Linked DNA regions of Alligator mississippiensis. The protein of the gene in region 1 interacts with the protein of each later gene in a biochemical or structural test. Links are inferred from orthologs where the notes say so. Each region holds a gene or a part of one and is shown on either strand. Other genes may lie near its edges.

What was found.
Region 2: the proteins of RB1 (region 1) and MRPS18B form a complex in vitro, tested with the Homo sapiens proteins (2 studies listed by BioGRID and IntAct). The link is inferred for Alligator mississippiensis from reciprocal best matches to the Homo sapiens genes RB1 and MRPS18B.
Region 3: the proteins of RB1 (region 1) and DNMT1 form a complex in vitro, tested with the Homo sapiens proteins (2 studies listed by BioGRID). The link is inferred for Alligator mississippiensis from reciprocal best matches to the Homo sapiens genes RB1 and DNMT1.

The regions. Positions count from the first base shown.
Region 1 is NC_081824.1:413,414,660-413,418,404, reverse strand, and holds the start of RB1 (retinoblastoma-associated protein), read right to left. Parts: upstream 2,790-3,745; 5' UTR 2,727-2,789; coding exon 2,620-2,726; intron 476-2,619; coding exon 358-475; intron 1-357. UniProt on the Homo sapiens protein: Tumor suppressor that is a key regulator of the G1/S transition of the cell cycle. The hypophosphorylated form binds transcription regulators of the E2F family, preventing transcription of E2F-responsive genes.
Region 2 is NC_081834.1:53,550,162-53,553,906, reverse strand, and holds the start of MRPS18B (small ribosomal subunit protein mS40), read left to right. Parts: upstream 1-1,233; 5' UTR 1,234-1,237; coding exon 1,238-1,342; intron 1,343-2,765; coding exon 2,766-2,913; intron 2,914-3,213; coding exon 3,214-3,311; intron 3,312-3,745.
Region 3 is NC_081831.1:22,158,741-22,162,485, forward strand, and holds the start of DNMT1 (DNA (cytosine-5)-methyltransferase 1), read right to left. Parts: upstream 2,849-3,745; 5' UTR 2,805-2,848; coding exon 2,737-2,804; intron 93-2,736; coding exon 50-92; intron 1-49. UniProt on the Homo sapiens protein: Methylates CpG residues. Preferentially methylates hemimethylated DNA. Associates with DNA replication sites in S phase maintaining the methylation pattern in the newly synthesized strand, that is essential for epigenetic inheritance.

The DNA.
Region 1 (3,745 bases):
AAAATAAACAGTAGTCAGGACAGTTGGACAGCCAGCACAGCATTTAAAACCAGCACTATTTTTTTTATATATATAGAAGCAGTTTTTCTATATAGAAATAAAGGGGGACTATGCATTTTACTATATACAGTCATGAATACAACAGCATTTGTACATTTTGACTTGGGTAAAAATTTTCATTAGAAAAGTGATGTGGCAACATTTGAGTTCTCAGACTTAATTCTGAATCATTTGCTTCCCAGAATGGCTGTAAAAATATGTCAAGTCAAGCAAAGACATTAATATAATACTTGGAATCAAAGAATAGGTACCACTACTACAATATTATCATGAGCATTAGCTATACCGAGTACTCACTAGAGATCCAACCACAGATGACACTTTTTCATATGTCTTCCACGCACTTGTTCTTATGACATCCGAAACTTTTAAAATGTCACAAAGTGCAACAAAATCTGCTTCTCCAAACTCAACCCTAGCAAGAGAAGAGAAAAAAATAGTATTAGGCCAGTATGTGCCACCAGATAAGGGATTACTTCTCTGACAAGCTTACTAAGTATTAAAAATTAGATGTGCGGATCGAGACAATAGTTTGTCACATCTACAGCTAATTTCACAGAACATCTTACCAAAACAAAACAAAAAGTTAGGAACATTGCCACACACATGCAGAAATGTGAATAACCTGTTTATTCTGCAAAACTGTCTGCAAGGCTCAAACCTGTCAATCATTTAACATCAGAGATTCTGGACTGAAGGATGCAAGATGGAAAGGATTTAGAAAAAAGCCTGAACAAGGAAAATTCTCTCTGCAGCAAAAAAAATAAAATCAATCAACTCAGAAACAGGGTTAAGGTGTGAATTGATCATGAGCTACATGTATCTTTGGCAATCAGTCTAGCAAAGAAAATGTAAAACAAGTTCCAGTTAAGGGGAGTTGGATGGTACAGATCTAGATTAGAAATAAGGCCCAATTTTTTTACACTGAGGTTAATTAACCACTGAATAACTTACCAAAGAACATGGTAGATTTTTTATTACTAGCCATTTTAAAATGAAAACTAGCGTTTCAGAAATATTTTGCTCAAACAAGAATTCAGGAAAATCCTACAGCTCACATGACATAGGGCAGACTCAAGAGGTGATCTGCCACGTTAAGTCAGGCAGAAGCTAGGCCAAGGTGACACCTTAGAGACTAATTCAGTGAGACATGAGCTTTCATAGGGTCCTGCTGCCCCTTCAAATTAAAGCTGGACAGAAACCAGCTATACAATTGTTACACATTTTCAAGTACTAACTTTATAGCTGATTGGCTCGTTTATAGCTCAACAGTCCTTTTTTACAGTGATAATTCCTTTGCACATGTGGCTGGTCTTAATTTACTGTATGCTTAACCAGTTAACTGTATGAGAATTATGTTGCATGTATGGCCAGCCTACATGCATTATAAGATTCACCAGTTAACTGTTTAATATATGTAATGTGTAGTAGGGGCCACAAGCAACAACCCACTTTGTTTGAGGCAGTAAATGGGCTGCCAGAAATAAATTATTTTATATAGAAGGAAAAGGGACAAGGGGAAAAAAGAAATCTTTTGTCAGATGCTATGAATGGACTTGCAGAAAAGAGCAGGTTTTTGCCTACGCAAGGTCATGCATTCCCAAGCTAGGCCAGGCTAGATCAGTGGTTCTCAAGGAGAGTTTTTTTAGCCACACACCCCACCTCAGGAAATGCCAGCTCTCCAGTTTCACTTGGGGGCTTTTTGGGTGCAGAAAAATATTAGAGCAATTATTCTGTTGCAAAAAGCTCAACAAGTCCTGTGTCCGTCGTTCCCCACCACCCCGGGGCTGAATGGTACTTCCCATATTTCTGGGCTTTGCTAGTTGCTCCCACTACCACTGTGTTGGTGTTTTTAAACCTGCCACAGAGGCATTGAGTGTTGGCTGCAGCCAGGGCTGGGGACTTTCACTGGGATGTGCCAAGGCTCCTGCTAGGAATCAAGTCAGAGGTTCCTGGCTAGAGGGTCTTGCCCCTCCAAGGGCTCAGGGTCACACCAACTGCCAGATTTGGGCATAGGAAGGCGTTTTAGCCCATGATCAGACTGACATGGACTGTGCGGGTTTCTGGCTTCCAGAGTGGCAGGGTCGTGGGTACCCCGAGCGCATCCCCACAGCAGCAGGACATTGGCTGCAGGGCTTACCCCATGGCATGAGAGAGTGTTTGGTCTGTATGCCATCACGGTGGAGGGCAGCACTAAGGAGAGCCCGGACAGGGACAAGGCCACCTCGGGGCAGGGAGCTGGAGCTCCCTTCCAGCCCCATGTCTCCCTGGCTTAACATACAGATTCCTATTCAAGTCCCGTGGCGCGGGAGGGGTGGGGGGGATTATTTTACAAATCTCTACAAAGCTACAAGTCTCCCCCAAGACCTGGGGCGGCCTGGGGAGACCCCGCACTCTCGCACCCTGCAGAGTTTCCTCCGCCCTCCAAGCAGCGGCCCAGAGACACCGCGGCGGGCGGCCCCCCCGCTCCGCTTCTCCCCGTGCCGCCCCGGGGCAGACCCGCCGCAGCAGAGGGGATGCTGTCCCCTCCCCCGGCCGCGCTGGGCGGGCGGGGCTCACCTGGGGGCGGCGGGCGGGGGCTCGGCGGGGGCCGCGCCGCGATCCGGGCTGGCGCGTTGCCCCCTAACGGCGGCGGCAGCACCCCTGCGCGGGGGCCTGGGCGCCATGTCGAGCGGCGCCGCCGGTGCCGCCGTTTAAAGAGCCGCGGAGGACACTGCGCGGCCGAGCCGGGAAACCGCGGGAAAGCACGTCAGCCAGCCCCACCCACACTCATAGTCACTTCCGGCTCGCGGAGCCCGGGGAGTCTACAAATGGGCGGGGCTGAGGGGAAGTGGCCAAGATTCCGGAAGCAGCGGGTGCTGATCACGTCATGCTTCGCACGAGCGGCGCAGCCAATGAGCTCGGCCGAGCGCTCGCCAATGCTGGCCAATAGAGAGCTGTCCCGGTGACGGGCTCTAGCTTAGTCATTCCCTCGCCGGCAGGGGCGGGGCTGCTCGTGTCATCCAGGGGCGGGCGCAGGGATTAGGGAGGGCGGGTGCTGGGCATCGCGTCGCTGGGTGTTTCTCCAGGCAAAAATGAACCTGGTAGCAGGCTCGGGGCTCTGGGCTGGTTTGGGCAGTCTGGAATTAAAGCAGAAATGAATATACTGTACAGGTTCCCATCGTCTTATGCTGTACATACGCTCCTGGAAAACCTCCCATCCTGCCAGCTGGCCTCTCCAGGGAAGGAATTCTACCTGCTCAAGGCATCAAAATGCTACTCAACACAGCTCACCAAGGCACTCTCATGGACCCCGAGGGTCAGCCTTCCATCTTCAGCTCCATCTGTGCAAAAATGAAGTTTATTTCCTACTCATGGGGAGTTTTTACCATCTTGTACCATCTACACTTTTCCCAGAGCCTGACGAAGGGACTTTGATCCCAAAAGCTTGCAAAAAAGGACAATTTTCTTACCTTTTATTAGACCAACTGGAAAATGGCATCATTCTGGAACAAGGAGTTCTAGTTTTTTGTATGTCCTCCTGTAAAACGACTCATAACTCAAATTTTCATTTGCATAAAGGGAACCCACTTTACAATGTAACAAATAGGAATACATTCCAAGACCTTGACTGTACTGATCCCCCAACTCATTTCTACCACTTTTACTAGTCAATTTTCGTACTCACCAACAGCAGGCAGTACAT
Region 2 (3,745 bases), on another chromosome or scaffold:
GGCTGGTTTTTTGTGTCTTCCAAGGACCGAGTGGGGGGGATTTTCTCTGGTTTCTCTTGCCAAGCTCGACGCAGTTTCAGGACCAAACAAACCTGGAACAGGAAGAAAAAAAAAGAGGGGAGCGCATAGATTAGCATTTTTTGACAGAAATGGATCAAAAAAGGTCATTAAAAAAACAAAACCATAGCACAAACCACATCATCTAACTCATTAAGTTTGAAAGGTTTCCTTCCCGAGGCCAAAAAAAAGGGTTGTTAAAGGGACAATTTGGAAGAGGAAATATATATATATAAATAAAGGGCGGGGGGGTCAGGGAGAGGGGGAGAAAAGGAGCAGGTTTTTTCTGTGCCTTGGGACTTTCCTGACCAACCCTGACCCTCCTTTACTCGAAAGACCCCAGCTCCCTCCGCCAGACCCGAGGGGCTCGTCCTCCACGGGCCTCTGTAACGCCCGAGCTCGCCCCAGGTGGAGGTTGCAGCCCCCCCGCCCAGCGCCCACAAGCCGCGTCGCAGCACGGCTCTGTACTCACCTCTAACCAGACCCCAGAATGGCCGAAAGGCGCGCGGGCGGCGCCTTTTATAAGGAGCCCCGCCCCTCCCGCCCCGCCCCCCCGGCTCGCGCGGCGGCGCGAGAACAAAGCCCACTTCCCGCTTCCCCACCCGCCCCGACTGGACTGATCCTCTGAAACAACGCCCAAACCGAAATCGGAGGCCGCAGCGGAAAGCCTCTCGGCACTGGAAAGCGGCTGCCGCCTTCCAAAACCGTTTTTAAAATCGGGAAAAGTTGTGACGCAGTTTCGCCGGGGCCCGGTGCGCATGCGCGCGGGCGGGCGCCATTTTCGTGGCGTGGGGCGTGGGCTAGGAGGCGCGGGTAGGTGACCGCTCCCCAGCGCTTCCTCAGCCTCGTTGCGCAAGCGCAGCAGTGGGCTGCTCCGGGCGGGGCCAGTGCGCATGCGCGACCACCGCCCGCTATTGTCTTGTGTTTGTGGCGCAGTTTTTATTCCTTCTTGAGCACTGCGCATGCTCGAGGGTGGGGAGGCGCCTCTGGGGGGGGTTATCTCCAGTTCTCTACGAAATGCATGATGCGTTTCACAAGTTAATAATTCTTCCTATCCGTACTTTATCACTAGGGACTAAGAAAATAATATAGTAAAATTGGAGTAATGACCTTTGACCTCAGCGATCACGTGCGACAAGATGGCGGCTACCGGGACAGCTGAGGCTAGAGCTCAGCGCGCATGCGTAGTTGTGCCTCTCTTAACATGGCGCTGGCCATTAGGACCATGCTTTGGCGAAGGGCGATGAGTAGCCTGAGGCAGAGAGGGCGGCTCCTGTGGACCCAGGTGAGGAGCAGGGTTCAGGAGCCTGGCTGTGGCCTGACCGCTGCCAGCCGTGCTTCAGTGACACCTGCATAGTAATGTCATTGCACACCGCGTGGCAGGGCCATTGGGGGGGTGTCCCCTTCCTTGATGTCATCTCGCCTGGATACGTAAGAGGACATCATTGCCACTGCCATGGTTGACGTGCAGAGGCGCTGCCAGCTGCTCTGTAATGTCTTTGCCCTCAGGGGATGTGTCACCTTGTCCCTGCCACCAGGATGGGTTGCTGTGGTGCTGGGATACTGGTGCCTCGGGCGCAGCATGTCATCGTGATGTCAACACGTTACGATGGTGTCAGGCCGCGTTGGCTGACGTGACACGATGTGGGGACCAATGACAAGACAAGGAGCAATAGTCTCAAGATGAAGCAAGTGATGTTTAGGTTGGATATTAGGAAAAACTTTCTCACTAGGAGGGCAGTGAAGCCCTGGAACAGGTTACCCAGGGAGGTGGTGGAAGCTCCTTCCTTGGAGGTTTATAAGGTCCGGTTTGACAAAGTCCTGGCTGGGATGATCTAGTGGGGCTGGTCCTGCTTTGAGCAAGGGGTTGGACTGGATGTGACCTGAGGTTCCTTCCAGCCCTCATTTTCTGTGATCCTGTGTCTGTGTCATCCCCGTGGATGGGCAGGCTGACCACTTACATGGTGTAACGATATTCCTTGTTCTAAGCTGACATGCCTATATCATAAGTACGTTTTTGGCTGCTCCTGCAACCTATTTCTTCAGCATGTGACAACTTCATCACATCATTAACTTAGGTATTGGAAATCCTGTATGGCAGATTGCTGTATGATGTGATGTGATTGTGATAGGCCAAATTATGGCACCATGTATAATATTGTTGTATCACATTGGATTGCAGTGCTATGGTCCATCACACTGCCTTGCATTCTAACTTCAGTGTTTCAGAGTGTTTGGAGATGTTTTCATTGGCGAGCCATTTCAGAATGACAGTTAAGGATGCTGTGAGACTCGAGGCAAAAACAGCTATGGTGGAAACAATTTCTCGCGACTGTTGCCTTACACTGTCCAGTAGCTCCTTGCAGCGACACCTTAGGTGCTAGTGGTTACCCTTGGTGTGTTTTGTTTTGTTTTTAATTTTCCAGGGAAGTTAACAGCAAAACATTTTATGTGTTGTTGAACCTATTTGATTAACCACCCCCCCACCCCACCCCCTGCAAAATCTCCCAGAACTTTCTCAGCTCTGTAGGTCAGCTTTTTCCATTCAGGGTAAAACTCTCAGCTCTTGGCAAGCAGTTCCTATGTGATAGTTCTGTGCAGCTATCATCAGCTGTCTCACCAAAGAGGTAACTACATTTCTCTGTTACATATCAGCCTTTGGTTCAGAATAACCTGGTCACTTCCTTGCATGTCTAATTGTCTCTCAGGCTTTACCCAGTGCCTCACTCCACCTCCAGCTCCCGCAGCTCCGGGCCTACAGCACAGAAACTGACCCAGCCAAATCTGAAGAGCCAGTTGCTTTTGACACTGAATCCCGCTTTAAGGAGAAGCCTTGGGAGTATCTGGAGACAGAAGGTATGAGTTTAGGGCCTGTAAATAGGTCAATGCTAGGCCTATGAACTTGGCACCGTTGAAGCAGAAAGTTTGGAATTAGGGCTCTTGTGTTCTCTTGGAGGGAACTGATATCTAGGAGTTAGATAGCTGGGTTCTCTTCCCATCTCTGAGCACAGCTTGCTGTGTAATAACTAGCTAGTCTCTCTCTTAATATCCACATAGTGGAGCTAAAGCTATCGAGGCTATGTTTATTCATATACTTTAGAATCCTTAGGGTCAGCTCGCCTTAAGGAATTGTTAACTTTCCTCTCTTCTGCACAGAATACATTGAGAAATATGGTAACAATCCTGTCTGGTTTGGCTATCGACGTAACCACCGGGGCTCCATCGGACCTCAGAAGACACGCAAGAAGTGCATAGTGAGTGCAGCCCCTTCTCCCTGCCAAGGAAGTGTGCGCCTTGGATGATAGAGTAGGGTCGAAAGTAGTGCTTAGTTCCAACACCAGATGATTCTGCATTTGAAATTCAGCTGCTCAGTGTGAAGAGGAGAGGTGGGGAGAAGGGATGAGAAGTACCAACAGCAAAATCTTGGCAAATCGGAGAGGTGGCTTGTAGGGACATATAGAACTGAAGCAGACTGGGAATCAGAATTTCTGGGTGTAATTCTTAATGCTGGAATGGGAGAGTGGGGTCTAATGGGTTAGAGAACAGCCTGAGAATCAGGATTCCTGGGTTTTATCCCAGCTCTGGGAAAGGAGTGGGCTTGAGTAGCTTAGAGTGCAGAATAGAATAGAACCCATAACACATGGGTTCTGCTTTGAAAGTGGGACTGGACTGGAAAGCTCTAAGGTCC
Region 3 (3,745 bases), on another chromosome or scaffold:
TAAGGCTCCTGTCAGGCAGGAAAGCATAGGGATGACAGCAGAGCCCTACCTTCTCACTTAAGCCATCTTCATCCTTCTCTAGGTCCTGAAGCCTGCAAGACAGATAAGCTGCTGTCACAACCCCAGGTGTTTCACTCCCCCAGGTAACAATCTCATGCTTCTCTGCAAACCAGCTGGAAGTACCAGGGCAGATTTCCCAGGCACACTAGCAGGAAAAGGGATAGGGAACACCTCCCACAGAGGCCTGTGCCCTGCCAGTGCTGGCAGCCCAGACTGGACTGATGCCACATGGGGAGCTCCTAAGTCCCACTGGAGACTGATAGAAAACAGGACTGAGGCTGCTTCCAACTGCATGACGGGTCCTGATCACTTGGGAGATGCAGGAAGTGATGCTCTGTAAACAAGCCAGGGTGACAAGCATGGAGACTGGGCTTCTTTGTGGAAACCCCAGGTCCCACTCTTGGACACGAAAGGAAAACTTGCAACATGGCCTGAGGGCTCGGGCTTCCACAGCATTTGCTCACTTAAAAAACGAACTTTAGCCCATCTCCCTCCTGAGGGGGTTGCCCTGGCCAGAAGAGGCCAACACAAGCTAGTGCAACACCATGGGACTTTTTGGTCCCTCTAGGACAGCTCCCGGCTACAACACACACTTCCTACCCTACTGCAGCTCCACAAACCCCCATGGTCAGGGCCAAGGGCCTGCAAGTCTGGGGCTGCCATCAGAGAGACTGAGATCCCACTGCAGCCGCAGCAAAGGCCAGACAAGGAGCACCAGGATGAGTACAGGACAGTGCCAGTGCCTGGGCCTGGGTGGAACTCCCTTATGTGCTAGGGATGGGTACTAAGGGCACACACAATGAGGTCACAGGCTGTGGCTGTGCCTGGCAGGGACAAACAAGGAGACTAGGCAGTGGCTGCAGGGGGACACAAACTCACAAGGCTCCTGCGAGGGAAGGCAGGAAGAGGCCCAGGCCCTGGCCTGCCCAGGCTTTGCCTCCATATGGGGAGAGCACCATGGAGCACCTCTGTCTGGCAGAGGACAGGACGCGAGGGGCCAGCGCCACTCGCTGTGCTGTGATGCAGTCCATCCAGGGCATGTGGGGAACAAGGTCTGCCCCGCAGAGCCCGGCAGGGACAGGCCAAAGGGGAGGAGCCTTGACTGCTCTCACAGGCGGGCCCAGCAGCGGGGATGCTGGCGCCCCAATCTCTCCTCACTCAGGCGCCATGGCGCTCCCTGCTGCCCTCGGATGAGCTCCCGTGTTCCCTCCTTGGAAGGCTCACACGATACCACCTCCTCTGCACAGCGGTGACGCCCTGGGCCCTTGCCTGACTGCCCAGGGGCCCAGTTGGCAGACGGCCCACAGGGAGCGGGTGTGTGCCGGCAGCCACTGAGGCCACGTGGGCTCCCCGTTCCCGCGCACTCCCCACCGCGCCTGCTCCCGGCCCCTGCCCCTGCCCCTGCCCTGCCAGCAGCTCTGCAGATGGGCCAAGCAGCACAGCCCACCACAGACGCCTGGCCCCAGTGGGTGGGGGGGGCAGGGGGAGACAGCAGGTCCTATGTCCCACCCTCTTCACCAGGAGAGGAGCCATGCAGGGAACCCGAGGAGGATGGGGGCTGTGCTCAGTGCCAGGGTTGCAGGACTGCCTGGCCGGAAGAGGTGTGATGGGGCCCAGGCAGCCCTGGTCTGACTTGCCAAGGCTGCCTGGGGGCTGCTCCGTGGTCGAGCATGGGGAGGCAGCAGAGATGCCCCTGCTGCTCCCGTTCAGCGGTGCCGGCTGGACAATGGCAGTGAGGCAAAGCAGCCTTACAGGAAGCACGCGCCACGTGCAGCTCCCGGTGCCGCTGCTGCCACCACCAGCCTTGCCAGTTGGACGGCCCACCCGGGCTGGCGCTCACCCTGCCCTGTGGCTGGATGCAGAGGGCCCCAGTCTGTCCCTGGCATGGCCCCGGCTGTGCGATTCAGGCCTCTGGGCTGGGAGACAGCGCCAAGCTAACTCCAAACCAAGTGCAGCCGAACTCTGAGGCCAGCTCCTCGTGCGCGGTGAGGGAGGACAGGACATCTGGGACTGTCCTCAGCCCCCTGCCCCTCCCCCCACTGCAGCCTGGGGAAATGAGGGGCTCAAGGTGGCCCGGCTGCCAAGCTGAGGGGCCCCGCGGGCTGCCCCAGCACCAAGACAAAGGCAGCTGCTGGGGGGATGATCACAGGCACGGTTGGCGGGAGTGCCTGTGAGCAGGGTCCTGCTGGGTGGGGGTGGCCGTGGCGCCATGTCTGCCCCCCCGCCCATGCCAGGATGGCGAGAGTGTCCAGCGCAGCTGCAGCTCCCCCCCCCCAGCCCTGCCACCAGGTGATGGGACACGGCACCACTTCCTGTCCCAAACGGCTGGGGGGGCAGGGGGCACAGCTCAAAGCAGTTGGGACCAGGCTACCCCCTCCCACAGCTCCAGGACGTGCCCCTGTGCCAGGGCTGCACCCCGCGGCCAGCCAGGCCGACAAAGCACACCCCGACACAGCCCCGGGGCAGCACGTGGGGCCAGGCGCCTGGCGGGGGTGACCCCGAGGCAGGGGTGACCCTGCTGAAGCGAAGGGCCTGATCCTGGGGGTGCGTCCCGGCCCCGGGGGCACGATGCAGGAGTCAGGGCGGGGGACCAGACCCCGGGGGACCCGATCCTGGGCGCAGAGGCCGGGCCCGGGTCCTGAGCGCGGGGGTCCCGATTCGGGGCCCGGCACTCACCGGCGGCGGAGCGCGGCGGGCAGCGCGAGCGCGGGCGCGGGCGGCGGCGGGGCGGCCCGGGCCGGCATCGGGCTCGGGGCGGGGGCGCGGGAGCCGAGGCCGGGCGCGGGCGGCGATTTCGCGCGGAAACCAGCGCCGGGGGGAGGGGCGGCGCCGACCATCCGGCGCGCGGGGGGGGCGGGCGCTACCACTGCCGGGGGAGACTGTTCCACGCGCGGGGGTGATACCACTACTGGGTGGGGGGGTGGGCTGTTCCACGCGTGCGGAGGAGGCAGGCGATACCATTACGGGGGGGGCTATTCCACGCGTGGGGGGTGGAGAGCGCACTACCACTGCCTTGAGGGGGGGGAGCTGTTCCATGAGGGTGGGGGGAGAGCGGCTCCAGGACTGTTCCACGCGCGGGGTGGGGGGCAGATGGGCGGAACCAATCTCATAGGGAGAAGGAGGTACTACGAGGACCCAAGTGGGAGGGGGGTGAAGGATGATGGTGCGGTCGGGGTTGGGGTGGCCGAGCGAGGTGGAACGTACCACTGAGGGCGGGAGAACGGGGGTGCCCAGGGGAAAAGCAGTTGGGATGTACCATCCTCTTCCTAGGGACGGGGTGGGCTGTACCACGTCCCCAAAAGGTCTATAAGGAGCTTTGGAACATACCTGGTCGGACTGCCGTTGGGACGTACCAACCTCACACGCCAGGGGGAAACGGCGCGTACCAAATGCCTCCCTGCCTACGGGCTGACAGTTGGGCGGCTCTCGACTCCTCGGGGCGGGGCTTGGAATGTACCATGTGCGTCCAGGGGAAAGGGGGACTGAAGGGCTGTACCCTAGGGAGGGAGTGGGATGTACCAAGTGTGCCAAGAGTAGAGGGGGCAAATGGGACGTACCATTCTTTTGAGGAGGACTGGGAGGAACCATTTTCACATACAACACAGGGAGAGTTGAGACATACCATCCTTAGGAGGTGTCGGGTGTACCACCGAGAGCTGCGGGGCTGTTGGAATGTACCATAATC